Linked DNA regions of Arabidopsis thaliana. The protein of the gene in region 3 interacts with the protein of the main gene of each other region in a pairwise test. Each region holds a gene or a part of one and is shown on either strand. Other genes may lie near its edges.

What was found.
Region 1: the proteins of TCL1 (region 3) and AT5G27810 interact in a two-hybrid assay, tested with the Arabidopsis thaliana proteins (one large-scale study listed by BioGRID).
Region 2: the proteins of TCL1 (region 3) and BMY2 interact in a two-hybrid assay, tested with the Arabidopsis thaliana proteins (one large-scale study listed by BioGRID).
Region 4: the proteins of TCL1 (region 3) and ATH1 interact in a two-hybrid assay, tested with the Arabidopsis thaliana proteins (one large-scale study listed by BioGRID).

The regions. Positions count from the first base shown.
Region 1 is NC_003076.8:9,852,046-9,857,924, forward strand, and holds AT5G27810 (MADS-box transcription factor family protein), read left to right. Parts: upstream 1-3,625; 5' UTR 3,626-3,781; coding exon 3,782-4,141; 3' UTR 4,142-4,413; downstream 4,414-5,879.
Region 2 is NC_003076.8:18,350,429-18,359,096, forward strand, and holds BMY2 (beta-amylase 2), read left to right. Parts: upstream 1-3,096; 5' UTR 3,097-3,165; coding exon 3,166-3,684; intron 3,685-3,857; coding exon 3,858-4,085; intron 4,086-4,169; coding exon 4,170-4,250; intron 4,251-4,393; coding exon 4,394-4,597; intron 4,598-4,720; coding exon 4,721-4,915; intron 4,916-5,036; coding exon 5,037-5,201; intron 5,202-5,290; coding exon 5,291-5,551; intron 5,552-5,632; coding exon 5,633-5,845; intron 5,846-5,933; coding exon 5,934-6,153; intron 6,154-6,242; coding exon 6,243-6,268; 3' UTR 6,269-6,460; downstream 6,461-8,668. Other genes in the region: AT5G45290 (RING/U-box superfamily protein), read right to left, coding at 1-99, 193-399, 481-1,389, 1,464-1,664.
Region 3 is NC_003071.7:12,966,940-12,974,134, reverse strand, and holds TCL1 (Homeodomain-like superfamily protein), read left to right. Parts: upstream 1-3,894; 5' UTR 3,895-4,074; coding exon 4,075-4,144; intron 4,145-4,281; coding exon 4,282-4,369; intron 4,370-5,275; coding exon 5,276-5,372; 3' UTR 5,373-5,570; downstream 5,571-7,195. Other genes in the region: TPP (thylakoid processing peptide), read right to left, coding at 1-14, 295-891; AT2G30430 (uncharacterized protein), read right to left, coding at 5,723-5,959. UniProt on the Arabidopsis thaliana protein: MYB-type transcription factor involved in trichome cell specification. Acts as a negative regulator of trichome patterning and formation by direct binding to the cis-acting regulatory elements of GL1, thus suppressing the expression of GL1.
Region 4 is NC_003075.7:15,912,671-15,921,361, forward strand, and holds ATH1 (homeobox protein ATH1), read right to left. Parts: upstream 5,484-8,691; 5' UTR 4,870-5,483; exon of another isoform or gene 4,719-4,869; 5' UTR 4,536-4,718; intron 4,219-4,535; 5' UTR 4,204-4,218; coding exon 3,355-4,203; intron 3,263-3,354; coding exon 2,919-3,262; intron 2,827-2,918; coding exon 2,766-2,826; intron 2,363-2,765; coding exon 2,195-2,362; 3' UTR 2,000-2,194; downstream 1-1,999. Other genes in the region: AT4G32970 (BRISC/BRCA1-A complex protein), read right to left, coding at 117-190, 439-552, 629-922, 1,015-1,173, 1,376-1,630; AT4G32990 (Transducin/WD40 repeat-like superfamily protein), read left to right, coding at 7,560-7,739, 7,864-7,950, 8,074-8,298, 8,392-8,456, 8,582-8,647. UniProt on the Arabidopsis thaliana protein: Transcription factor which may be involved in the signal transduction pathway downstream of the COP1 gene. Controls floral competency as a specific activator of FLC expression. Is responsive of the nuclear import of SHOOT MERISTEMLESS (STM).

The DNA.
Region 1 (5,879 bases), on a different chromosome or scaffold from region 3:
TCTTTATGCATAAACAATTTTTAATTATCTACCAACAAATAATTAGTTGGTCTATTTCACTATTTCTATAACCCAATTACGTCGTGAGGGTTGGAATTATTGAGAAATATATAAATTATTTCATTAACTGCAAGGTCTAGCTATGTACACATGCGTCTTGTATCTACTACATCTCCAAAAAATATTTGTTTTAAAAAAGAGAATCATTTAAAGTAATGGAAAGACTTGGTGATATGATTGCCATTTTACTTCTTATCTACATTTAAAGAAATCCCACTTCAAGACTCAATCACTTTAATACCACTCCCATCTATCTTCAAGCTAATACTTTTTGTATTTTCGTGATTTTATTTTAAATACTAAGATTTTTGCCTCATTTTATCAAACACTTGAAACCCACACTATATATGTACGTGAATGAGCAAGCAGAAGTTATTGCCTCCTCACTCTCTAACTTGAATATTTTATTCTTAATTCTCTTCTTCCTCTCTACACACCCAAATCTCTTCTCCCTCACTCTCTGTCTCTCTATGTATAAAATATAATATGTGTGTGTAAGTAGCTACATATACGTGGCCATGGAGATTATTTGGAGTTTGATGATGCAAGAGAGAAAGTAATGGGTGAGTAACACTTGATGGAGAAGCAGGGCACGTGCGAACACAAATGAAATCGATCGGTACTTGTTGATCATATTTTCGCACGTGTTCTACTACTCCAACACGTGTCTCTCCCCCTCCCCGAGGATGCAATCGTCAATGGATAGAACAGAATGTAAATAAATTTAGCGTTCTAAGTTTTTACTTTATTAGACTACATCATGCGTATTAGGGTGTATATATGAGACATGAAGTTAACATTGATTGTTACTCCACTTTTTGTGTTACATTACTTTTTTTTTTTTCTTTCGGTAAAAGGTTATGTGTTACATTACTTGAGTAGGCAGTGGTACGTAATAATAATGCATACGAGTATAATAAAGTCATGTGATATAGACATACACAGTAGTAAGCATTGATATAGTCATTTCTCATAATATTAATATGATAGAAATGTTTCTTAGAGTTATTTTTATGTAATATAGATATCATTGAACTGAACCAAATGAATTTCCGTCGAGAGTATTGAAATTGCGACAAGACAGCTTTATAAAAATCTTTCTCTCTAATTACTGTTACGGTTTTACTAGAACTACTTGTTTCTGTTATGTTTAGTAAAATTGTTTTACTTTACATGAATGATATATTGATATCGGAATATTCAAGTTTCAAGACTGTTGTTAACTCTGACAGACACTATCTGTTTTATTTATTTATTTACTTTTAAGTAATACATTCAAAATTTGAGATGTATAAATGGATAAGAAACCTTGATATATGTTTCAAAAAGCAAATTGAGGAGAGTGTAATAGTAATAATGTAAAACAAAAAGTTGAATAAACGATTTTGGCTCACGTCATTGTTATTAAAAATGTATGCATGCGTGAAAAATAAGTGTAGGGTAAAAAGAAGAAAGTTTGTTGAGGCAAAGTTGCCTTAGAAAGCGGGGGAATTTCTCTCTTTCACTCACTGACATTATGTCTTTGTGTACTCACTCTCAGTACCAGTTTATTAAAGTATAAATAAAATGATATTGATGAAGAGAAACAATATATATTACACGAAGATAAAAAGATAAATTACGTAAGTAATATACTAATATTGTCATATATTTATGGAGACATAAAAAACCAAAAAAAAAAGATCTTGAGGTGATGAAAACGAACTTTTTGCAAGCGTCGTTGTTGTAGGCATTGCGGATGACTTAAAAATAATCAAATAAACAAAGAGAATGATACGTTTTATTAAATCATACATATGTCTTAAGTTATATTTTAAAATTTTAAATCATAGCCTCAACGAAGTTTGAAAAGGGATTTCAATTAATTTTTGCAAAAAGTTAATAGCAAATAAGTTCAGAGAGATAGAAAATAAATGTATCATCCAAATAGAAGAAATATAAATAAAGAAGAAAAAATTGATGTTAAAAAAAAAAGTTAAGGAATAACCCGACCCGAACAACCCGGTTTAGCCAAAATCTCAGGACTAGAAAATAATCAAATATGCTGGCAAGGCCAATTCGGTCCCATTAATAACTTATACATTGAATATCATAACATTTTTTGTTTTTTTCTTTCACAAATTATAGGAAAAATGGGTAAAAAACCATCACCAAATATTGTGTAAATATTTTACTAAATTGCATAACAATTTATAAGTTCTTTATAATATACACCATTCACCACTTAGTTTATTCTAATTATCTACATATACATTTTTGCAGCCACTTTGTAAAATAAATCCTGGAGTTGGGATTTATTTACAGTGGCTGCCACTGACATTTAATAATTATTTTAGATAATTAGAAAGAAAATCTTCTAATTAAATATTTGACATTTAACAATCTTCTTAAAATCTTTCTACCTTAACTACACGATTAATTACTAAAATAAAACTTTCAAAATATTTAATATCATTTAATTACTACAAAATTATCATTTTTGATGTTGCTTTTCTGCATGATTATAATCATCAAATCGCAGAGATATTTGATAGCATGTAATTACTACAAAATTACAAAATATTTAGACAATAATTCATAAACATATCATAAATAAGGTCAACATTAATAAAATAAATGAGTTTTCTTTACAGGACAGGTTGGCGGGACGGGTTTGGCAGGACGTTACGTAATAATAATTATAAACTATAAAATAAAAATATTTTATAAATAGATACAATTTACAATATATATATTAATTTAAAAAATAAATTGTTCCCCCGATATACCGCGAGTTTAAATATAGTTTTATATACATTTTGCTAGACTGCGATCTTGTAATCTTCTGATAACATCACAAGTTGGATACAATTTTTTTTTTCTCATCATGTCTCTTCTAAATTTTATTCTTTTTTCGTTAACATTTTATCCTTCAACTTACCACCCTCGTTATACTTTTTTTTTTCATTTAAGAAATGTAGTTTAGTTTTACATGCCTTTACTTATGAAGTTTTTAAACTTTACGATGGGTATTGTAATTTTGCTAACCTATTTTTAATATATATATAAAATCAAGAGATTTAAAAACTGATTTCTTAAAGAATTATCTATATGGTAAATAGTTCATGATTAATTTACCAGTCAACAACCGAGATTCAATGTCTCCAGCAAGGGAAATAATCACAAAAATATTTTGAAACAAATCTTTGACTACCTTTTAATACCATATCTTATTAATCATCACAATATTTGAAAATTATATATATTATTAAATAATTATATTAGTTGCATCATGTTTAAATAACATTACCAGATTGATATTTATTGATGATTTTTGCTGTTAAAAACTAAATTTGCTAGCTAAACATTTTATCCTATTTTATTGTTTTGATGTTACCACTCTATAAATATTTGGACTATAGTTCTACATATGTCAATCAGTAGTGATAATACATGTAGTAAATAAGAAAAACGGTTATAATCTCTATCTTCAATCCATTCAGATTTTTTTTATAATGTTCATGCATTAAAGCTTGATTTGGAAGTTTATATTTTCTTGTATTAAAATAAAGATACCCTATATAACAAATATTTGTACCTTCTCAGTACTACATAATACTACACATTAACAATCTCAAAATATACAAAAAAACATTTTAATGACGAGAAATAAAATGAAACTTGCTTTCATTTCCAACGATTCTTCAAGAAAAGCAACTTTCAAAAAAGAAAGAAGGGGTTGATGAAGAAAGTACATGAACTCTCAACTCTATGTGGCATCACATCGTGTGCGATCATCTACAGTCCGTATGATACCAGTCATGAAGTGTGGCCATCAAATTCTGGTGTGCAAAGAGTGGTTTCCGAATTTAGGACACTCCCGGAAATGGATCAACACAAAAAGATGGTAGATCAAGAAGGTTTTCTCAAACAAAGGATCGCGAAACCGACAGAGAATTTGAGGAGACAAAGAAAGGACAATAAGGAGCTCGAGATGACTGAAGTCATGTTTCGATGCTTAATTGGAAACATGGAGATGCTTAAATCAGAATCACAATCAGAATCAACAACAATGGTTTATGAAAATGATGAACCATCTTGAGCAAATGAAGTATCCAGGAGAGCAAATGGCGTTTCAATTCATGGATGATAGCCAACACAACCACATCCACCGTCATCAACAAGAGCACCAACATCATATCCCTGGAGAATCTTCCATCGCTCTTGATGTCGGCAACTCAAGCGATATCGTACATAGTTCTTGTTCTAAGTATTTCCAATAATAAATGGTTTCGTTAGGATTTTATTTAATGTGGTATTACAATAATTTCGAGAATGGATTGATAAGTGAATTTATAATTAGCTTTCAGTTTTTTTGTCATGTAATAGATTGCATCACAATTTATGTTTTTATTGTTATCAGTTTGATGATGGTGATATTTTTCATTCTATTTTCACAATGATATGTTGTTTTTAAATTTAGAGATTTGTGATACTCTTATTTTTATTGTTTCATTTTTCCGTTTATGTGTTGTTTTTCAACATATGTCTTACCTTTATTAATTCTTTAATAACATTTTGAGCAGATTAGATTTAAGGTTTCTTTTCAATTTTAGAACTGTTGAGATTTTATATTTTTTCTTTCAAATATAAAATATGACAGCTCACATTTTAAAAAAGAAAATATTTTCGTTTAAAGTGTTAAGTACAAATATTATATAATATATAATCAATAATATACACTGAAATGTTAATGTACCTAACATATTGTAAACCATTTAAAATTCTTTTAAAAACTCTTGTAAACCCTTTAATATTATGTGAACCATTTTAAAAGTCTTGTGAACCTACAACTCAATTTACTGTTTTATTGTCTTTTAGGTTCATCTACTTTGTCTAGCTTAATATTAGTCATCATAAGTTTATTGTGTTAACAACGAGAGCTTAGTGGAATTTGACCCTTAAGTGCTAACAACGATCTCTTATTTGTGGGAGTAAGCATAAGGCAATTTGAGCTATATCAACTCCGAAGCAAAACAAACTACATTACAAAAACATTTTAATCATGACTATCAAAAAACAAAATCCTTTTAAGTATTTTATCAACACACACTTGAACTTTAAAATCATAATAAATTTATTTTTAACACCATCAATAATATTTTTTAACACCTTCTGACATATCAAATCAACTTGATCTAGTAGAGATTATATAAAACAAAAAATTATCATGCAGTATACTATTACTTAATGACAATCATGCATAAATTATTTGCAAACTTTTATATAAAATACATAATCATATTAAAATCACAAATTTTAGAAAACAAATCATCCCATGGTGTAACATATCAATACCTAGTTAATGCTACAAATTTCAAGCCCAGACAAAGATATACATTTATCCCACAAGTGATGAAATATGAAAACCATTAATGGTATAAAATCAAATAGAATATGAATGGATATTCATTAGCAATTTAGCACTAATATTTTTCATTTAGTCAATGTATTCATTCTCATTTATGGGAATGAGTGGATTTTGATTTTATATTTTATTATTTCTTTAAAAGTTTAAAACTCAACCATGTGGAGCATAAATTGTTATGCTTTTTAGGTTTTTATTTAAAGTACAAACATATATATATATATATATATATATATATATATATATATATATTATCTGATTCACAAGTCACAAACAACCATAGTAGGGAAACTGATAGAAATGTTAGATTTGTCTAATTACCGGAGGAGCTCCTCCAGTTGATTGTCGTCTGATTGTTTTCCGTTGTCAAACTCAAACATCTCAATAGCATTTCCACATCTTAGCGCTACTT
Region 2 (8,668 bases), on a different chromosome or scaffold from region 3:
ATCCACAACGTCGTTAGGTGCAGGAACAGATCCTATAGATGATACTGATGGTTGTTGAGAGGATAAGACAACAGATTGCTGATGAATTTCATCAAGAACCTAAAATGAATGCACTGTAGATCCTTAGCATACATGAGAAAGAAAGATAGTGGCAAAAAGCTGTTAGTAGGGAGACCGAAAACATGTATTTACCTCGAAGAGAGCTTCAGCTAGCAATACTATCCTTGAGATGCTAGCTCTTGCATTTGTTTCATCGGTTGTTGCTGTTGTCGAACCACGGTTAGTAACTGCACGGCATGTGCAGCGACCTGCTTGATCTTGACCTGATAAGACACAAGATCTATCATGATGGACTGCGACATTCTCAAACCGGCTTCCTAATCTTTGAAGAGCGCGAACCTGTGGAATTAGTTATATCAGTTAGTTAGATCTTGAGTTGATCAGACACATCAAGGAAGAGAGAATCAATGAGTTTCAAACCTGAGATCTTATTCTCCTCCTTCTTTCAAGGAAATCTGATCTGTGTTCTAATAAACCTTGATACCTCCCTTCTCTCACAAGAGCAGCTGGTGTCTCATGATCCTGAATGCCGAATAAGGTCCTTCGAATGCTAGAAGCGGAACGATTTAGTATAGACGTTGAAGTCACAGGAGCATCCTCTGCTGCTGCGGTTTCAGCAGAGAAGAGATCAGTATCTTCTTCTCCCTGATGTGGCGAGGGACGGAATGCGAAATCAGAGAGTGAAGATCGGCGAAGAACTCTATCACGGAGTCTTCCAACACTCAGAGTTCTACTAAATCTAACATTGCGCTCAATAGAAGGTTCTCGTACAACATGTCTTCTATCAAGAAGTCCAGCATAAGTACTATCCATACCATTAACTACTCTCGGAGAACGTAAGCTACCATCTTCCCCAAATCTCATGGCATCAATATCTCTAACTACATTGTCAATCACAGGAATTCTCGGAGACTCAACTCTATCATTGAGCCTAATAGCAGATTCTGAAGGTGAAGTAACACCATCTTCTCTATGAGAAGAAGAGACTGGATAAGTCGTGTTGAAGGATCTTGAACTTGAAGCTCTGCTAAGTCTAGAGCTTATGTTACCAGGAATGAATTTGAAATGCGAAAAAACTCGACCTGGAGTAGAAGATTCTTGAATCGAACCGCTAACATTTCTCATCTGTACATTGCTTACACTAGCTTCCTCTTCTTCTTCTTCAACACCACACTCATCATCAAGCTCAAGCTCATCACAATGTCTTTCGTTTTCAGATTTCTTATCATCTTTCAATTCTTTATCATAGCAATCTGATGCATCTCTTCTCGATTCCATTCTACGCCGTGTAACACTTCCATGACTCTTCCTCATCCATCCATTACACACCTGAAGAAATCAAAACTCATGAACTTGACCTAATTTCAGATTTGACCAAAATAAATTAAATATCAAAACCAGACCTGTTCATCATTATCATCATCACTGTAATGAGAAGTAGAAGATGAAGCAAGACAAGAAGAGTGAAGACCACAAAAAAGACTCTTTGATCTTCTTCTCCTTCCACCACCACTAGAAGACGACGGAGGAGGTTGAGCCACGTCAGAAGCTTCTCTCGCCATCGCCGACGAGCCTAGACATGATTTGCTCCGGCCAGATCCCATCTTCTTCTCAAAAGCAAACAACTTTCTGCTAAAATTACATCATTGACACAAGACCCACAAGTCTTTTCCCCATCTTCTTCAAATCCACCAATCGAAGAAACCTCCAAGTCAAAATCTAAAGATCGAAACTTTTTCCTCAGATCTTTACATTGAAACCCGAATTCGTCATTGACAATGCAGAATCAAAAGCCCTAATTATTGAATCCCCAGATCTGAAACTCGATCGAGATTGCAAGAATACCTCGAAATCTGAACTTTTTTTATTGCGAGAAATTAATGTAGGAACTAAGCTATGTGTGTTGTCTTTGAATCAAAGAGAAATGCTTTGAAGAAAAGGAAAGATTTTTAGGTGATCGGAGTAATCGAAGAAGGAGACAAAGCACCTATCTGCGATAGAGAGAGAGACTTTTACGGGAAGAGTGTGTCTTGATGTTCGAACGAGAGGGAACAAAAAACCAAACTCACCATTTCTTTATTTTTCTTTCTTTTCTTTTTCAAACTATTATAACATTCTTTTGTTTTCGTTCGATTTTTTAATCTTTTTTGCAATCATAATTGGACTTCATTGAGGACTATAATTGAGAAAAAAGCTTTGAAATGGTCATTGAACAGTGATCACTTAGATGAAAAATAGTTGTAACCAAACCAAACTAGAATATTCAAACTATACTCAAAACTGAAATTTTGTTGACAAAGCCTTTTGGTTTTATAAATTGCGAAGCAGAAATACAAAATCGAACCAAAATCGAACCAAAATCGAATCTATATTCTCAAAAATTAAAATATAATTGAACTACACTAACTTCAAAGAAAGAAAGAAAAAAGATATATTAAAAATAGAAAAAAAAAATGAGTTGAAAAAAGTAAATCACAATAAACTAAAATATACAAATCATTTTTTTTTATGAAGTGATTGTTTTCAGTATTTTACAATTTAGATATAGTGGCATTCTAGCTTCAGAAGATTTTTGTTGGACCGGCCCTGTAAAGTCGATTTAAAGACCAAACAAAAACTAATTTTAACATGATAAAATCGAATCAAATAAACGGAAATTCATTAACATTTTATTTATAATTATAATGTTAATTTTACTAAAACCTACCTAAAATAAAAACCTGAGTCAAAATATGTAAACTAATTTTAACATGATTTTGGTTTGATTTACTAAACCAAAATCAAATCAAAAGACAAATTATGTATTTATGTTATTCAGTTTTTCTTTTCTAAACTAATAAAACCATGAAAAAAAGGATTGGAAACAAAACCGTAAAACCCATCGTGTCATTCCTAACAAACCCATCAGTAATTCAGTATCACTTTGTCAAAACTGGTCACATTGGCTATTGTTGAACAAAAAAAAAAGAGAGGTTTTTGACCAAAAAAAAAAAAAAAAAAGGAGGGGTTAATATTGACGATTTTGATAATGAGAGACTTTTAACGTAATTTATAATAATTACCGACGTTGATTTGTAAATCCATAAAGTTACAAAAAAATCTCAAATGTGGGAACAGCACAGAAGCGAGCAACTTCACCGCACAAAAATGCATACTCTCAACAACACCATCACCACCACCACCGGTTCGCAAGATCCGAATCTCGACCCAATTCCAGACCCGGATCAATTTCCCAACCGGAACCGCAACCAACCACAATCTCGCCGCCCTCGCGGATTCGCCGCTGCAGCAGCAGCAGCGTCGATAGCTCCAACGGAAAACGATGTAAACAACGGAAACATCGCCGGAATCGGCGGTGGAGAAGGAAGCAGCGGCGGCGGAGGAGGTGGAGGAGGGAAAGGGAAGAGAGAGAGGGAGAAGGAAAAAGAGAGAACGAAGCTTAGAGAAAGACATAGACGAGCAATCACTAGTAGAATGCTCGCCGGATTAAGACAGTACGGTAATTTTCCGTTACCGGCGCGTGCTGATATGAATGACGTAATCGCTGCTTTGGCTCGTGAAGCTGGTTGGAGTGTTGAAGCCGATGGTACTACTTATCGGCAATCACAGCAACCAAATCATGTGGTTCAAACTTCGAAACTCTCTCTCTCAAAATTCAAACTTTCATATTAAGCTATTTAAGTTAGGGTTTAGTGGAAAGATGATAAATTTGATCCCAAATATGTGTGAAGCTCTTAAAGTTATAAGCTTTGTTCTGTTATTAATGTAACATAGATTGTTTAATATTATTGGATTAGGTACAGTTTCCGACGAGATCTATTGAGAGTCCACTTTCTTCTAGTACATTGAAGAACTGTGCTAAGGCTGCAATTGAATCTCAGCAGCATTCAGTTCTTAGGAACGATGAGAAACTTGCTCCTGTGTCTCTTGATTCTATTGGTATTGCCGAGAGTGATCATCCCGGGAATGGAAGGTATACTAGTGTTAGTCCTATCACCTCCGTTGGATGCTTGGAAGCCAATCAGGTGAATGATAAATTCATTTCCTTATTAGGAGAATTGACTTTAAGCTGGACGTTGTTTCATCTAACCACTTTGTTTTTCTTTCAGCTTATACAAGATGTTCATTCCGCAGAGCAATGTAATGACTTCACAGAGAGCTTTTATGTCCCTGTGTACGCCATGCTTCCAGTGAGCTTCTGATGAGAGAACTTTGTGTTTTAAGTGTATATATATGGATGTTGCCCAATAAAAAAGAGTGTACATATATTTCTTACCAGTTTTGCCGCGATCCTTAGTTTTCCTGTGCTAAAGTTCTGTACCTTGTCTTTCAGGTTGGCATTATAGACAACTTTGGCCAGTTGGTTGATCCTGAAGGTGTAAGACAAGAATTAAGTTACATGAAGTCATTAAATGTCGATGGAGTAGTAATAGATTGTTGGTGGGGAATAGTTGAAGGATGGAACCCTCAGAAATATGTATGGTCTGGCTATAGGGAGCTCTTTAACCTTATCAGAGACTTCAAACTTAAGCTACAGGTGTGAATATTTTTACTTGTAGAGCTTTGTTAAATACATCCTATGTGACCAAACTGTGACTTTCCCTATAAAGGACCGTCTTTTTCATAATATCTTAGCAATCAGTATATGGTTTGTTTGAAGGTGGTGATGGCATTTCATGAGTATGGAGGGAATGCATCTGGGAATGTGATGATTTCGTTGCCACAGTGGGTGTTGAAGATTGGGAAAGACAATCCAGACATTTTTTTCACTGATCGTGAAGGAAGAAGAAGTTTCGAGTGTTTGAATTGGAGCATTGACAAGGAACGGGTATTGCATGGACGAACTGGTATAGAGGTACTCAAAGAACACTCATTGCTCAGAAATTGTTCAGTATTTTGGTATATTATGTCTCATTTCCTCCTCTTTTGTACTGTCTAGATTCTTATTTCTTCCTTTTCAACACTTGATTATCCAGGTCTATTTTGATTTTATGAGAAGCTTCCGGTCAGAGTTTGATGACTTGTTTGTGGAAGGACTAATTACTGCGGTTGAGATTGGTCTTGGAGCTTCTGGTGAACTAAAGTACCCATCTTTCCCAGAAAGGATGGGTTGGATTTATCCCGGTATCGGTGAGTTTCAGGTATTTTTCAGATTGCTGAACTTTACTTCTACGTTCTAACTTATGACTAGTGAAGTTAACATATCAATTTACTATTTTTCCTATTGCAGTGTTATGACAAATATTCGCAATTGAGTCTGCAAAAGGAAGCAAAGTCACGAGGATTCACTTTCTGGGGTAAAGGACCAGAGAATGCTGGTCAATACAGTTCTCATCCACATGAAACTGTGTTCTTCCAAGAAAGAGGTGAATATGACAGCTATTATGGCCGCTTCTTCTTAAATTGGTACTCACAATTGCTAATTGGTCATGCTGAGAATGTTCTGTCTCTTGCAAATCTCGCATTTGAGGAGACGAAGATTATTGTCAAGGTATAATCCTTTTGGCACTTATCCTTCAAACCCAGTGATGCCTATAACAATGAGACTCATACACCAAAAACAACAATGCAGATACCGGCAATATACTGGTCATACAAGACAGCTAGTCATGCTGCTGAATTAACTGCAGGATACTACAACCCTTCAAACCGTGATGGGTACTCTCTTGTTTTCGAAACTCTGAAGAAATATTCCGTGACTGTGAAGTTTGTGTGCCCTGGGCCACAAATGTCTCCCAATGCGCATGAAGAAGCATTAGCTGATCCAGAAGGTTTAAGTTGGCAGGTAATGACACTTTTTATTGATGACTATAGCTTTTTTTACTTCTCAGCAAATGTAATCTTAACCCTAAAGTTTTGGTTATTTGTGGCAGGTGATCAACGCAGCTTGGGATAAGGGACTTCAAATCGGTGGAGAGAATGCGATTACTTGTTTCGACAGAGATGGTTGTATGAGATTAATCGATATAGCTAAACCAAGAAACCATCCAGATGGCTATCACTTCTCCTTCTTCACATATCGTCAACCTTCTCCTCTGGTTCAAGGATCTACTTGCTTTCCAGATTTGGACTACTTCATTAAACGCATGCATGGTAAGATTTACCCGCACGCTTGATTGTGCCTTCCCTTTAGATTCGTTGTCAAAATCTTTGTTCTTACAACTATATTTGTTTCTTTGCAGGCGACATAAGAGATAAACAGTTTTAGGATTTGCATGGTCTTAGGATTCTTTTAGTAAGTGTCTTTTGTTTAAAACTTCAAAATCTGTTTTGTTTTGTTTATTCTCTCCTCAAGGCCTATATTTAAGACGATTGATCTTGTAATCTTTAAACACCTTAACACTTCACTAGTTGAAGATGAACTAACTAATTAAATTCTTAAATGCATTCTAATCCGACTCGCGTAAAGTAGACACTTGTTTAGTTTTATTTTGAAAAATACAAGAAGGTATTGATGTCTAATGAATACAACCGAAAAGTGTTGCCTAACTCTTATACCTTTTTGTCTAAATTATTCTTAGAATAACCTTTTTGACTATATATGCCCGAATCCGATTACATTAATGGTATTAATAATTTTTGTTCAAAGTTACATTTTTCTTTTGTATCATTCAAATAATATTCTGATAAAATCCTGATTTTTCATGATTGTATTTGACATTTTAGATCCAACCAAATCTTTGAAGAACAAATAAAGAGGGGAAAAAAAGACCAACATGTCCTTTTGCATTCAGTGTTAATTCATGGACAATATAATGTTGGTCCGTACGAAAATTTGATTTTGTATCTAAAGAAGCATAAGAAATAGGGTTAGTTAACCACAACGAACAAAGCCTCTATTATACATATCTAAATGTGGGATAATGAGGCAAAATGTCCAATATGATTAATGAAAAAGATGGAAAAAAAGTCTTAGGTGGTGTGTGATTTAAACTGTGTTTTAATTACTTTAAATGATATGAAAAATCTGTTATTATTTAATCAAGATTCTATTAAATTCTGTTAAAGTTTTTTTTTTAGTAGTAGAGGGGAAACAACCGTCTCCCGCAATTTATTGAAACTGAAAAGAAATTACAAAACGGTAGGCGGGTGAGCCTCGGAAACGCAGTTCCTCGGACATCCTCCCTTACAATCTCCTCCACCAATGAGGGAGCTAAATCAAACTAATGAATACCTAAAGATAGATTAAAAGCATAGTTCGCTAACCCGTCTGCAAGGCTGTTAGCCTCCCTATATACATACGGTTAGCTTCTCTGTTTTAGTTTGATGTTATTAGTTTTTGATTTATTAAAAAATCTTTAAAACTCTTAATAAATTTGGATTTATTGGAATTATATTTTAAAGTCATTGAAAATTTTGTGTTATTCAACTAAAACAAAAAAAATATTTGATTGTTAATGAATTAAATTATTCTGTTATTGGTTTATGATTTTCTATATTTTTACTAACAAAATAAAATCATAAAAAATATAATCGAATGTTTGACAAAAAAAGTATAATCAAAATAGAGATATTGTTTGAAAAACTTTACAAGATTGTGAAAAATTAATTTACATGATTATAGAAAACTCTCTAGCAATAGTTTATCAACAATGATACATTTTTTTTGCTTTAATTGAATATCACAAAATTTTAGCTATAAAAACATGAATCTGATAATTCCAAGAGTATGAATATTTTAGATTATATTTTATAAATCTTAAAACTAATAAAATCAAACTTTAACAAACAAAAAAAAATGAAAATGTTGATTAAATAACAAAAGATTTTACATAATATTAGAAGTCACTAAAACTCTATTTAAATCACAAACCAATAACATCATCAAAATAAACAAAAGAAAAATATACGTCATCAACGGCGTTTACTATTCTGAACGAAATTGTATAAATCTCATCATCACTAACCTAAAACCAGCATAAACCCTAAAATTTTCTCAAAACCCCATAAACGGTAAACCATAAAGCTTCAAAATTTACAGAGTTTCCATCAGAATCTGTTGATATCTAAATTCATTTACCCGTTAAACATTAATAAATAATAACTGATAAAGAATTCGAAAACAATATCTATATAGCTCAAAAACCCTAGATCCTAACATTTCAAAAACAAAAACATTATTCTTAAAGCTTCGAAACTAAAACAAAGACTTAAAAAGTAAGGAAAAAAACAACAAATTATCTTGATTTAGATAAAACCCAATACCGAATCAATCAAATCACACAGTTTTCAACAAAAAAATTAGACGAACAACAAACAGAATAATTGTGTCAGATCTGATAGTTGGATCCTTATTTTTTCACCTCGGACTCCGATTCAGTTGATACAAGACGGGAGCTCACAAACCAACCATGACAAGACACGTGTCGGTGTCAGCCAATCAGTTCCCGACCTGCACCAAGCGAATCCGAGACCGCCGGTAACTTTAACAATCATCGCATCTCTCTCTCATCAGAAAAAGGTGAAAGAGAATAAGGAGGAGAAAACAGTTACCAAATCCGGCAAATATTTTTTCTGTGATTTTTAGGTCTTTCTCAACTATCGATAATACTTTAGCAGCCTCCTTTAGTGGTATTTAATGAAAATGATAAACCAATTATTTGTCTAC
Region 3 (7,195 bases):
AAAAAGTATGAGACCTGACCAACACCAAGGCACACAAACGGTCAGTTTAGTCATAAAGAGACTAAAACAGCCTCATTCACAAACCTACATCAAGCAACTAAACAAAGCTCAAGGTGAAGTCTAGCAATCACCTATAGAAAAACCTTCACATTCAATCACATAAGAGTATCATACAACTATCTCCATCCTAAAACATGCAAGAACTAATTCCAGAACCGTGTAGAAAAAGTCACCATCCATCATCAGCTATGTTTTATGATTACAATTATACATGAACAGACTCAGAATTCATACCTTCTCCGCCATAACGCGATCACCCTTGTCCAAGGTAGGGTACATAGACGTTGAAGGAATCGACTTTGGCTCCGCAAGAGCTGATCTAAAAAGGATAGAAACAGTAACCGCCGTGAAAGCAGCCTTAGCATCCTCAGAACAAACACTCAAAAGCTTATTAACCCATCCACTTCCTCCATTCCTCGATTCCTTATCATCATCATCATCACAAACTGTTCCTCCTTTATCCACGTCATCAATCACCGGTGGATTCTTAATCCATTTCGACCCTTGAAGAAACGGAATAATAGAAGAAGCCTTGAAAGATGAAACCCCCAGAACATTCATCGTTGACGACTCATGACCCGTCGTTGACTTCAATATCGAGATCAAACCCATCACAAGCGGGCTTTGACTTCCTTCTCCGATGAGCTCCCTCGCGATGCTACCATACATCGATGCAGGTCGATTCCGAGGAGATCTATCGAAATCACGCTTGTGGGAGAAGAATCTAGGACGAACCAAGGATTCAAAGCAGTAACCACCGGGACCAACACGGGTCCCGACGAGATTCCGAGCAACATGGGTGGAGTAAGTGAAAGTGATTCTTATCGCCATAACTACGAATTTGATGAAGAACTTGAACAAGTAAGGGTAAATCGAAGAGTCGTAAAGCAACAAACTTTCAGCTAAAGAGAGACTTAGAAGAACAAGTAACCCATTTCTAATCAAACGATCAGTGAATTGTAAACAGAATCTACGAATTGAAAGGTCGGACTAAGTCCGACGAGTCAACCGGAGGAAGGTGAATTCACTCCGGCGAGATTGATTGGATTCAGGTGAGAAGCAAAAAACCGTGAAAGGTGGAGACTTTAGAGAGAGAAAGATCTGGGTATGCCTAAAGAGAAGATCTTTTAGTTTGAGATTAGTTGTGCAATCAAAGGAAAGGAAACTTCTTGGCGAGTAGAGAGAAATGGTGATTGGTGAAGGTGAAACTCTTTTTTCTCAATTTTAAAATTCATTTTTGTTATTTTTAGCAGAAAGTCAAACATTTGACCGAAAAGGAAGAAGAAGGAGATAAGTCAAATCCGGCTGCTGGGCTTATTGGGTCACACGATCATGTCGTTTCATTTGTTATGCTTGACGAACGAAACCACTATATTTTGTTTAATATTACTTTCTTTTAAGTAAGGATAAAACATGTCATTGTTTTACAAAAAAATTAACTGATAAACATTTCTGGTTCCCTGAATATACTTTTTTTTTTTGTGAAAGGGTTTTCTTATATAACTTGAACATAAAAAGTATACAAAAAAAAACAAACAATAACCAGAAACTAGATTGGGGAAGAAGACCAACTAAGGTACTTAACAAAAGAAGATATCAAAACCTATATATCTTGATAATGATGGATTCTTTTTGGTTTGTCATGTTAATGATAGTTTTTAGTGTAGAACAATAAGAAATTGACTGAACAATTGTTAAAAAGAGTAAATATGAAGAGAAGAGTCACACATGAGACTCTGCTCATTTGTGTTAAAAAATAAAATAAAAATGACTCGGCACATTCTATAAAAAATCAGATGCGACGGTATATTCTATTAGAATAGTTTAAGAATACAGATCAGATTCCTGAGAATTGTTCTAGAAGAAATTTTATTTGAACTTTCTTTGACAAAAAAAGAAGATATTTTATTTGAATTTTAACATATGCATGCCTTTACTATTTACTTCCCTTATGAAGTGGGTCTACATGGTTAACTATGGGATTTATTGTAACTCTGACAGACTAAGCAGAATCAGTACTGTATAACTTCAAATAATTTTACAATACTTCTATATATATATAGATAAATAATGAATTTGATAAAAAAGATTCCTGTATTTCTAATATTATAATTTAATATGTATCATAGATCCTTATCTAATGTCAAATATAGTTAAAACTTAAAAGTAGAACCACAGTGCAAAGTTATATTATATACATATGTAAATTCAAATATAGTATGCTTGATACATTAATGTTAATTTTAACTTTTGATAAGTACTTTTTTATAGGTAGGTAATAAATACAAATTAGGTCATATGTGTGGATACAAATGGTTCTTATTGTTAGGTTTGAGAAATCAAATCGAGGGCGTAAAAAAAAAGTAACATGAATCATATGTAAGTTTGTCAGTGGGGGATGTTAACATGAATCATATGTAAGTTTGCCAGTGGGGGAGGTTAACACATGAATCATGTACCGTTCATTGGGTGTGGTTTAATACCTAGTCAAGTCGTTCGTACATGACATTTATAATCATCGTACCACATTAAATAATTGTCGACAAATCTTGGTTTCAACTTTCAACAATCTAGGGGTTTTTTCTTCTTTTTTTTTTCTTTTCTTTCAGGCTTATATTTAGATTGGGTTTTAAGTGGTGGTCAACTTACTAATTTAAATACGAAAACTCTTCTGTTATTTAGTGTTTTAAAACCATAAAACTATTTGCTATGATAAAATTGTTAGAATACACTCCAATATAGATGAATTTTATTTTACAATTTTTTTTGCCAAAATCAAAATTGTTAGATTTTTTGTAGACTAAAAAAACCATTGTGTGATTGTGTCTACTTCCGATTTGAGCGGATATACAGACTTAGTCGAGGAACTCGATGTTAAGCCTTGCTTCTTTTGTTGATTAAATAAAAACTTCTTGGACTAGTTGGATTAGATAACTTGTTGTGTATACTTATATATGTGATGTCCTTCACTTAAATGTAACACGTTATAGTACTGAAAACATAATAAAATGAATCAGTTGCGACTTAATTCATAAACCATGTTAGATTTTGGATGTTTCCATACAACAACAAAAAAAATTTAAGGATTCAAGCAACGTGAGTCATGACGCTTTAGCAATGAATTGTTTTCCTTTCTGTGAGTGAGTGAAAGATCGAAAATTTTGTGGTTGATTATTTAGAGCATAAATTATTCCTCTCAAGTATTAAACTAGTGACTTTGACCCACACATTAGTTTTCAAAACTATTAGACCACCCATTTGGTTTCAATATTTTCAATGTTTTATAGGTGATAAAGTTTTCGCAAGTTTTCGCTTAGAAGATTATGAGTACTCGAATTCAAATGCATGCAAATTCCAAAACAATTATTCGTCCTTTCCTTCTGTATGTCACATATTTTGTTGTGTATGTCAACAACTAGGCTTTTTTGTTTGGTATCTATAATTCGTTCCTTTTTTTAGTTTGCCGGATCAGAATGTATTTTATGATTCATATCTTCTACAAAAGAGCCGGATATACTATATAGTTTCCTAGTTTATGTTAAAATTTATGTATCCACTTTGTTCCATCAAAGTTATTAAAAAGATAAAAGTTGCAAGATAAGAAAAAATAACTACATACAAATTGCAAACAAAAAAATAATATTTTATAATAAATTCCTCATTTTGAATACATAATAATATATCGTTTATAAATACAACATATATCATATGCATGTATTATTATTACAAAGTGGAATGATATCCATAATTTAAAATGTTTGTATTTGTGATCTGCTTTGCTTCTGAAAATTAGTTTTAGCATTTAATTTATTCAGTAAGTTATGGTGTACCTATATTTTGTAAGTTAAAGGTTATGTGGCCAAGTAGGAGAGTTGGGGACCTCTCTTTGTGTCTCTACATAGTTTTGTAAACCTCACATCTCTTTCTTCGCTTGCATTCTCCAAACTCCAATTTTTTTTGTTTCTCTCAATAATATTTGTGTTCATACTGTTTCGCTGTTTCCAATACATACTAATGGATAACACAAACCGTCTTCGCCGCCTTCACTGTCATAAACAACCCAAGTTCACTCATAGCTCTCAAGGTTTGTCTTTGATTTAGTTGGAAATCTAATTGTTCTTCCTTTTGGTCTACGCTCATTCATTTGACCTGTAACATTAAATTGTTTTGTGATGTACGTTTTCACTGATATTTTGAATTTATATACTAACTAAAATGCAGAAGTGAGTAGTATGAAATGGGAGTTTATCAATATGACCGAACAAGAAGAAGATCTCATCTTTAGAATGTACAGACTTGTTGGCGACAGGCACGTAACATTTTTCTTCTTCTGTTTATATATTGATCTAGTTCCAAATAGAAAAATTAAATTCTTGACCTAATTGTATTATAATATGTGTGAAAATATGTGCTTTAACAATTAAATATTTTTGTTTGTGTGTGAGGGATAAAACTGTTTGCCGTGATTCAAGCTTCTATCCAAGATCATTTTTACCTTGTTCTGAAAATTCGGATGTCGTGAGAGTCAGGATCTGTCCACACCAAATTTTGGATCATATATTATAATTGTTTTTATAAAAAAAAATATCCGGATCTATAGTTATATATATATTTTGAAAGTTTTTTTTACATAAAAATAATTTTAGATACCAAATTTATTTTAAAAACTACTTTTTAAACTTAATCCATATTTTCTAAGACTGTTCAATATTTAATTTTTATTTTTTAATAATTCGAATCTGAAGCTTATATAAAGAATCGATGACTTGCCTAACAATTGTTATAAACTATACTATAATTTTTTTTATTTTATAATACTTCCCTTTGATTCTAATTAATTCAAGTCTTACAAAAAATAAATTGTTTCATAAATATATCAAGTTTTCTATGCATTCTTTAGTTAATCATGAGATGAACTGTAAACTCGAAAAAAAATAATACTATTGGTTTAGAGTTAGAGAAATTTATTAATCACAAAATGATATATTTATAATCAAATTTTAATTATTCGTTCTTAATATGTGTTAAAACCTTAATACTTAAATTAATTAGAAATAGAAAAACTATTGTTGTTTTAAATTTATATAAATATATAGACTGTTAATGTAATGAAATCAAAAATGTAATTTTAGTTTTAATAATTCATTTTTTTACAATAATCAGAATACTAATAATAACATATATATGTTGGTCACAAATTGAATCATATGATCAGGTGGGATTTAATAGCAAGAAGAGTGGTGGGACGTGAGGCAAAGGAGATAGAGAGATACTGGATTATGAGAAATTGTGACTATTTCTCCCACAAATGACGCAAAAGTCACTCTCTTTAAAAAATCTCGAGAATCTCCCTGTTTTTCTATTTCTCATCCTCATTAAATAATTTCTGTGATTGTGGACAAGAAAAGCTTTATTAAGTTGTCGAGTGGGGTTCTCCTCATCATTAAATCTGTTATGGTCACGGAAATTACCACTTTAATTGGCAGAAAAAACCTCTATGATTATAAGACACATTCGGTTAAAGCATAAGCAACCAAAGACCCGAATATGATTGATTAGATACGAGATAAGTTCATTATAACAATGCATGAAAAGAATTCAACTAGTTAATGGGAATATGAAGGTAGAATGTCAAAAACATGAACCGTGGTATGCAAGGGTTCTATCCAAAATGAGATCGGAATTTGGCTTGAATGTGAAGTTTTTCCTTGAAAAATGTACGAATGTGGCCAATGAGAAGGACCGTAGTGCTACTTGTGACGCCCTTGACCCATGTGGATTCTCTTCCATCAGTAGCACAGATCAAGCCTCGTGGAATAAGACAGAGAATTATCGATGATGGTTCCGTTGAGGATCGGATGCTGTCAAATGTGTCGTTCAGTATGTTGAGAAGATGCATTACCAAAATCACTCCACCATTTTCTATAGAGCCAAAATATTGGGAACATTCGTAGTACTAATAGTAATAGGTCCAAGTAATTTGCGGAAAAGTTAGTGGGCTTTAAATATAAAACATGACTGAAATTGGGCCGTATTCGACATTTAGTTGTATTATTCTCTAAATATTCAGAACTCTCAATAAAATCACTCTCTGGCGACTCAACGTTGGCCAGAGAATCGGAGAGGGACATTAACTGCTGGCAGACTGGCAGAGTGGCAGTAACCATACGCCGAAAGAGATATTCTCAACTTGTCCCGTAAATCAACATCTTTACGAGACCTTCATGCACCTTCGGTTCTTTCATTGTTTCTGGGTGGTTGGTGTGGCAAATAGCTAGCTGTACGTTTGAGGTTGCCAAGAACTCCAAAACTCAGACAGTACGTGAGTCTCAAAAAGTTTTTCCTCAGCTAGTTGGAGATTTTTAGCAGAAGTTGACCGAGAATGATTGTTAGTGTTAGTTTAGATTCTTTGATAATATACTTTTTCCATGTTGATAATTATCGTTATAGAGTAAAATTATAGTTAACTAATGTTGATAATTATAGTTATAGAGTAAAATCTTAACATTCATACAGTAAATATGTGTAAGTTTTGTGTAGGAGGCTAAGTTGAATCCATTCTGTTCACTCATATAATGGGTGCGCTGAAGTGAATCTACGCACTTCACATTTAAAATCATTGGACCACTTTAGAGACATATTGTGGACCAAGTTCTTAAATCGATCAAACATCTACCAATCAACAAGCCATGTATTTATTCGAACATGCATGTCTTTTTGTTTGTTTTTCTAGTTGATACTTATTGATCTGGCTTTTAAATTTGGCATCACTCGTATATATATATATATATATATATATATATCTCGTAGATACGTTATTGTCTTATAGATATAAGGTATGTCTTTGTCACAGGGCAAGCTCTAAGAACGTTAGTTGAAGTGACATACTGCAACCATGTCTGATGTTTCAAATTTCTTTCCAAGCTCTAAACCAAGAAAAAGAAAATAACTTATCAAAAGAACAAACTTGATTTAGCAAGAGCATCAATACACATGTTACAAGTACGAAGCTGGAACGAGACGGAACACTGATCAAAAGAGATCGTTGAAATTAGAAACCAAATCATATAAATGAACTTACTTCAGCCCCAGCGATGACGCGCACTACTCTTTTGCCCATCTAACTATCTAAATA
Region 4 (8,691 bases), on a different chromosome or scaffold from region 3:
AACCAGCAACCATCCGAGGTGCTAGTCCAGATTCAGCTATTAAAGGAAAATACATAGCACAGAAAGAATAAATAAATTGAAGTAGTATATTAAAGCACAAACTACAAAATGCTTACGCGCGATCCAACGGCCACCAGATTTTAACCCTCGACCCAACTATCTTTTCATCATACTTTTTGAAATCAGATGTCTGTCAAGGAATTGATTCAGCATGAGTATACAAATTTTTCTTTTTATTTTACATTGTTCTTAGCAAATGAAACTAGTATATACAAAAGATAAAACAATGGATGTTCAAGAAAATAATATCTCCAACATGAAGAGAATAAGAAGCTGAAACCATGAATAGTTATTACTACAATTCGCAATTGGTAAGGTTCTTCCCAGAGTCTTTGATATGAGCAACAGTTATTAAACGTGAAAAGAACAAAAACATACTTTCTCTTTGCCTAGGCTGTGTATTCTCTTTGTGTTTGTCTTAGGTTTTTTTTCTAACGGTTGCTTCGCTCCTTTCGTTGAATCTGAGGCTGATTTATCACAGGAAACAGCTGGCTGAAACAAAATCAAAGAATGTCTGCATCAGCAAAAGAAGAGAAAAGTCATATAAGCATTTCTTAACCGCAGTCACCTTCTTTGCAGGAGGCTTGGGGAGATCAACTTGAGCACATCTTTGAGGAGGATGTGATAACAACGTTGACATACGCCTGAAAACAGACTGTGAAAGCCCATGACTGCCCTCAAAGATGTAACCTTCATACTCCGAAACACGCTCTATAGCATCAACAAGAGAGTCATACACATCGTGAGTACAATTATCAGGACCCGACTTGTCGTGCAGGTACATAACATCCAATGTGAAGAGCTTCTGGTTTATAGGCCAATCATGGGTTGGTCTCACGGATGACCTGCAGTACATGAGAATCTGAAGAGCAAAATATAAACGAAATCTGTAAAACAGATTCTTTTATCACGCTGTGGCTAGAAGAGATAGTATTTGCACAAAACAAAACTTACCACTCTCAAAATTCGATTTTGTGCTCTGGAAGTTTTGGCTTCCTGAGCCGCTTCCTGGAACAGAAATGTGAGATCCGCTGGACCAGAGGATCTAGTAGCTGACATTTCTCTTAAAGAAGCAGCAGCAGATTTAGCATCGTTGGAGAATTCCTTTTTAAGCTGAAACATAAAAGACCTCAACTTTAACAGTCACACTAGTGAAGCTTATGCAATACATCAAATATGACTCTCTCAACACATTTATAAGCTACCATAGTCCAATGAACATCACGAATTCAAAATTTGACATCTAAGGAGCATGCATACTCAAAAGCAAAAGCAACCTAACATAAAGAGAGCTGGGGGAGAAAGTAAGTCTTACCCAAGCGGCTGACTGGGAGAGGGTAGCGAAAGCAAAGCGATGATCGGAATTTCTGGAGAGCTTGTCGTGGATAAAGCGAGTAATGGCTAGCTTGAGGCACTCGAGCCTGTTCAAAGGCTTACCGTTAGTTCCAGTGGTCTTCATCTCCACCGTCGATTCCGCATCAACATCGACGCATATGAGTATGTCTTCGCTGGGTTCCACCGAGTCTCGAGTGGCTACAGCTCCGGTCATGGTGGCTCTGTCTTCCTCCATTCGCCGTAAAAGGCTCCGTCTTTACACTTTCTTCCTCAGTTTTAGCAAAGTGTCTTCCTTTTCCTACTTTCTATTTCTAATTGTGTCCGTACCAGATGAAAACGCTGCGTTTTTATTAGTTGACCGAAGATTCTCAAGTCAAACCAAAATACGACGTCGCTTGCTAGGAGATTTTCGTCATTATTCATTTCAGTTTTTGGAATAATAAAACTCACTTGTAAGAGAAAAAAAGTTAAATGCAAACGGTGAAATAAAACTTTAGGTTTGTATTTTGTAGTTTGTTTGAATAAATATGAAAATAAATCTTCAGTGGTTACATACTTTTTATATATTTTCATGAACTTAATTTTATTTTTACGTAAAAATGGTGATCATGAAGTTTAATGAGGATGATGATAATTATGATATAAGAATACAGGATAATAAAATGAAATAGTCAAAGATAAAGGAGTTGTATATACAATTATAACATACGTAATGATAGTCGTACATGGTTTAGGTTTTGGGCAATCATAGAGTAGCAATTGCCTAATTATCACAAAGTTGGTAAACACAATTGTTGTCTTATTTATGCATTGCTTGGCTCATCATAACAGATTTTGGCATTCGAAGAGTTGGTCCGTTGGGTTGAATGTGACTGTTATTGAGCTTCCTCTTGTTCATTTCCGCATACATCTCTTCTATCATCGGCTTCCATAGCCTAACCCGCGCATTTATAAACCAGTTTGATACCTTTAATCACACACAACAAAGAGACACACTCTATATCATTTGCCCGCTTTAACTTACTTCAGTAACAAAACATATGTGCGACTACAATCCTAGGACTTGAGTAACATTATTGTGAATTCAAGAATACATAATCTAGTCTCATTTGTAGTTCAAGAGAAAAGCTTGATTTTTTCCTAGCCCTAATCTCATCTTAAAATAACCAATACCGGTTTTTCAGACATGACTAGTATGTCAAGATATATATTACTCATTTGAATACCATATTTGCTATCATTGTGAGCAAAGATGTTATCAATAAGTCATTGCATAAGAAAACAAAGATCTTATCAATGAGTCATTGCATAAGAAAACAAAGCTTGTTATCAATGAGTCATTGCATAAGAAAACAAACATGAGACATTACCTGACTTCTTGTCAAGCCACTTCGTATAGCTAGAAGATGTTTCTCCGAATCTTTCGGGTAACTGCATTAAATAAAACATAACTTTGCTTATAAAATCGAGTTAACAATGTCATCATCATAAAGTAGATAGTTAAGAAGAGTAAGGATTGTTACGGGTGAAGGAAGTTTTGGAACATCCAATTCCGTAGAACCGAAACAGATTTCTCAGGCAAACCTCGTTGAGGTCTCCAAATCTGATGGTTCTTTCGTTTCAGCTGCTGAAGAAGGCAATGCTGGTGGAACATAGAGGTTTCTTGAGTCTTGTCTTTGCCTCTCTCCAATACAGATCCCATAGAGATTATCTTCTTGCAGATTCTCTCTCTCAGGTTCTTGTATAAGAAGGAAACGGTTTGGAGGGCAAACCGGGTGTGTAACTGTGGATCTAACTCGGTTGCAGCATGGAACGCTGATATAACCGTATGAATCTCATCTACGCAATGACTATATCGATCATCCACCTGAAGAGAAATATCAACTCATAAAACTTCATCATATATATCAAACCATTTTTTTAACTTATGCAAAAAAAGTGAATGAATATATTACATACCATTTGAAGAAGATCCAAGAGATGGGTTTTCTTTGCTTCTAATGCTCTCCTTTGAAATGTAGATCCGAAACCCGCCTCCGAGTTATTAGAATCACCATCAAGAAACTCAGTTATATTCTCAAAACGTGAAGTAAAGGCTGAACTAGCAGCTCCTGACTCGGTTCCTCGAGATGAATAATCGAGCGAGTATGCGGCGAAATGAGATAGTATTTCTTGAACAGAGTGAAGGTATTTTGAGCCAAATATAAGTTGAGAGAAACCTTGAGTAACAACGTTATTAGAAATGTCTTTGCTGCTGCAAGAAGCTTGCTCTGAGGCTAATCTTGTAGCTGCACAAAGACTTATCTCCGAGCATTCATCAGAAACATCTGATGCAAGACTCAATGAAAGCTCATTGTTTCTTTTATTCGAAATTAGAAACGGGAAATCTTCTTCACCGAATGTAGACATCATTGGTTCACTTGGACCAACTACACCTGAAAATGCCTGAAACTCACTATTTGCTTCAAAACCCCACATGTTGTTTGAGGAATCATCATAGTGTCTTAAATGATCCAAAGGATGAAGTGGAGGAGGATGAGGAGGAGGAGCCATGAACTCAACATTGCGGTTATCTTGAACATCGATAGACCGTGGAGAAGATGATAAGTATTTGTTAGTCAGCATAGAATTGAAAATATCAAAGCCACCCATTTGTAGAGGATCTGATCTGATGGTATTCCATGGAAGCATTGTTGAGAATGAAGTTGAATCTTCTCTTGAAGGTATAAAATCCATGAGAAGAGGATTTTGGTTAGTCATGACATTATCCAGAGAACTAAAAGTGTTGTTGTTGTTGTTGTTGTCCATTGGGTTTCTATGAAACTGCATTACCAAAGAAGACAAGTATTTAAGACTTAGACAAAAGATTTCAGAAAATCTAAGAAACCAAATCTTTGGAGAATAGTACTAAATGTAAAATGCTGCAAGAGACAGAGAACATCGCTCACTATGTCATTAAATATTTCATTAAAATATATAAAGAACCGAAACATGAGTTAATGAAGCCGTAACTAGGCTCAATGATACACAGACCAATAATATCTCAAAGCTATCTGTGATAAACAGTGAACTAATAAGTAAAAAAGAAAGCTTTAGATTACTACAAATGTCCATAGAACATTAAAAATGTTGAAACTTGCCTTTATCCTTCTTCTTCTGATAGAACCTTTGGGAAGATTTCAGACAACACAACGTTCCAAAGAGAATTTTTACATCAAAATTTCCAAAATGTGTGTTAAAAACTGAAGAAGAAGATAATGCTTATTTATCTTCTTTCTCCGTGAAAGAACAGTGTACTTTCATTCCGCAGCTTCTCTATGTTCCTAAAGAGAACCAAAAAGCAGAAATCAACAATAAAGTTAGTATTCATAAATTAAAGAGAACAAAATAATGCAACAAAACTGAAAAAGAGAAAAGTGGGTCTGATTAATCTCTTTTGCATGAACGCAAACACTTACAAAAAAAATTACTTACTTTTTCTTACAATAATTTCATGAAGAAATTCATAATCTTCATCATCTGCCTCACTAAAAGATTCAGAGCACTAGATCAACAAATAGCAACATTTTATAACTAAATAAACAAACCAAAAGTTGTATTATCGAGGGGAAAAATACAACTTTAATATTCAAGAAAGAAGAAGTTGAAAAGAAGGAGGGCCAAATCACGTACGGAGCTGCCTCTGTTTATGACACGAATCCATTTTCATATCTTTAAGATCTTCCGACCAAAAAAAAAGATAAATCAGAATCAAGAAAATCTTATATATAATCACTTTCTTAAAATGTCATTTATTTAAAATGTTGTTCATAGAGAAAGAGATGAATCTAGTAAAATTATCTAAAGAAAATATATGGTTGAAACAGAATCGAAATCCAAAAAAGAAATCCAAAGACATGAAGAAGACCGATGTGTTACTGTTTACTACAGAGAAGTGCACTCATTTCTGTTGCAGGCTTTAAATTAGGGAAGAGACCCTACATTTTACTATTTACATGTCTCTATATATATATATATGTATGTGTCTCTATTTATAAAATTTTATAAAGTTATAAGAAAATGGTGTTGTCTTCTTGTGCTGGTTTCAATTATCACAAATCAGAAAGAGGGAAAAAAGTAAAGAAGGGTGAGATCTTTTTTAGCCATTTAAGGAGAATTGATGAGATGTGTGATCCATTTGGGTTCTTGCTTTTTCTTCTTTCTTTTCTCACCACTCGTGTCTTTGTATTGTGCCATCAAATCTTATATCCATTTACGTATTTTTTTCATATAAGTTTTTTACGTAAGCTTTACAAAAATATCAATCAATTTGCTTGGCCTTTTCTTTGATTGTTCCTTTCTTATCATTTTTATTTATTTATTTATTTATTTTAAGTTCAATGTGTCGTTATGTGTTACGTCTTTATTATCATGGCTAATGATGATGGAATTGAACTCTATTACTCGTAGACTATATAGATTGCAACATCTGAAATTATGCTCTTCTTTATTACAACCAAAAGAAGAAGAAAATCTAATGGTACTTGATTTGATCTGTATTAGCGTGACTTGATCTGTATTTTAAATAATGTTAATGGTACTTGCCTAAACAATGACTTTCTAAGCTGGTATGAGACAAAGAAAAGGGTCAAGGACAAGTATCTTGCATGGCCACTCCAAGCAAAATTGGATATTGATTTGGTGAAACAGTTATTGTTGTTCGTATAGGACAAAATTATTTTCAATAGAAATCGATAATTATTGATATCATATCCTTATTATTGTTTGCTTACAAGTCTATATTATTTAATAGTTTGAAATTTTGATTTAGTAAAGCAGAATAGTATCAATAACACTAGGAACTATAGTACCGACTATTAACTGAAGCTGGAATGCATCTTTAATCATGCCTACGATCTTAATCAATAACACTTATTAATGTTAGACTATTAGACCCGTGCTCATAACTTTTGGGTCCTAGGCGAATTATAAAAGTTACTTTTTTTTGTTGTCTGATAGTCCAAACAAGAACTTGTAATGCTTTTTCTAAAATGAAACAAAATGTACGTTGGCTATGGAGCCTATCGACTCCAGCACCAGCAGATGCTTAATCTACTCCATAGACTAGAGCGCTTTTTATCTGAAGTCGTATAATTTCCCAAGTCATTTGGCTTAATTATTGTGTATCAACTTATACTATATGCTACTGATGTCTTGCTTAGAATATTATACAAGTTCATTGACTTAGAATTATATATAGGCAGACTAAGCAAAATGGGAATAAATGATCACAGAGGGCATTAACTAGTTCACTGAGGTTCAACAATCTACTTGATCTTAACTCCTTTCGAATTAATATAGAAGTCGAGCACTTGAGGATCAGAAAACACACATTCATTCTCAGTGTCTGAAGCACTTGAGGGTCAGAAAACACACATTCATTCTCAGAGCGGCGTATAATTTTAAGATGTCAATCGCTCTTACGTAAAGATCGATAGCCATCCACCTAAACATATGCAATACTCCTTCTGTGAACAAGAAATTTATTGATAAAACCAAGTGTGTTAGCAAGTTAATCTTTACATAGAAATCAAGGACTCACTCTTAATGACCAGCAAAGTGTGTTAGCAAGTTGAGTGACCAGCAAAATTCTAACCCTAAAAAAGTAATGTAGAAAGCAAGCCCTCATTATCACCTTTACCGTGACATTTGGATTTCCATCTCTATCACCACCCATCCAGGAACCAAACTTTAGTGGATTCATTGATGCAATGCAGATAGAAGAAGAATAGAAGATGATGCAATGCAAGAAAGACATCCCTTGAGAGAGCCCAAACCATTCACCTTATTCCAATACATTAAAAGGTGTGGTTTTTCCCAAAAAAAAATTAAAGTAAATTTTTACTTTTAGAAAATTGGAAAGAAAATTTACAAATCAGATAAATGAGAATTTACAGCTCAATATTTCCATATCTTCCAAATATTTTCCATAGATTTTATTTTATTGGAAAAAGTATCTTCTTAAAATACCTTGAGAGGTTGTTTAGACTTTCTAAAATTTATTGGAAATTAATCTTAACCATATGCTTTAACTTTTGTTATTTACCTCGACGGGCCGATATTATATATATAGCAAAATTTGATTTTCGTGGAACTTATAGGCTTCTCTGCTGATCCAGAAGGAGATGAAAGTGATGGATAAGAATTTAGGGTTAGAGGAGGTTCAGAAACTTGAAGGTCACACTGATCGTGTTTGGAACGTCGCCTGGAATCCCGCCGCTGACGGTGTTATTGCTTCCTGCAGTGCCGATAAGACCGTACGAATCTGGGAGCAGAGTTCTCTTACTCGTTCCTGGACCTGCAAGGTCTCTCTTCTCTCTTTCTTTCGAATTTGATGTTGTTAGATAATGTGTCACTAATGAACATGAAGCCTCGTGATTGGTCAGGCTGTTTTGGAAGGCGCGCACACAAGAAGTGTGAAGTCGTTAGCTTGGTCACCGTCTGGGAAGTTTCGATGGCAATACTTGCGTTTGGGAAAATTTTGCTACTGACTCCGAGTCTGTCTCTGTTTTACGGGTACTAAATGTACTATCTCAAAGGCCTATCCTTTATGTGTTTGTTGACAACTGAAATTTATTGTAGGGCTTTGATGTCCCTCTGGGTTTCTTGACTTTTTAAAATCTCGTGGAATTTTCTTAGGGACATGAAAGCGAAGTCAAAAGTGTATCATGGAATGCATCTGGTTCGTTGCTTGCAACTTGTGGTAGAGACAAGTCTGTCTGGATTTGGGAAATACAACCAGAGGAGGACGATGAATTTGATACTATTGCAGTGTTAACTGGTCATTCAGAAGATGTTAAGATGGTCTTGTGGCATCCCACCATGGATGTTTTGTTCTCTTGCAGTTATGATAACACTATCAAGGTTAAGAGAACAATGCTTCAAATGTGCTTTCATGAATTGGTGTCATATCTATGCATAAGCATTTAACTGCAATGCTTGTGTTTCTATTAACAGATTTGGTGCTCTGAGGATGAAGATGGTGATTATAATTGTGTACAAACCTTAAGTGAACTTAACAAGTATATCCTCTATTTGTCTCTTCTTTACTTCTCACATGTTGAAATTTTCCTACCTTGATGCTATTGTTTTCTTGATATTTCTTTTATGCGTTTAGTAATATATGTTGCCTTTAATCTTCACTCAGTGGTCATTCTTCTACCGTCTGGAGTATCTCTTTTAATGCTGCAGGGGACAAGATGGTCACTTGTAGGTTGGTGAATCTTCTCCCCATTGTTTCGGATAGGAGATTTCATC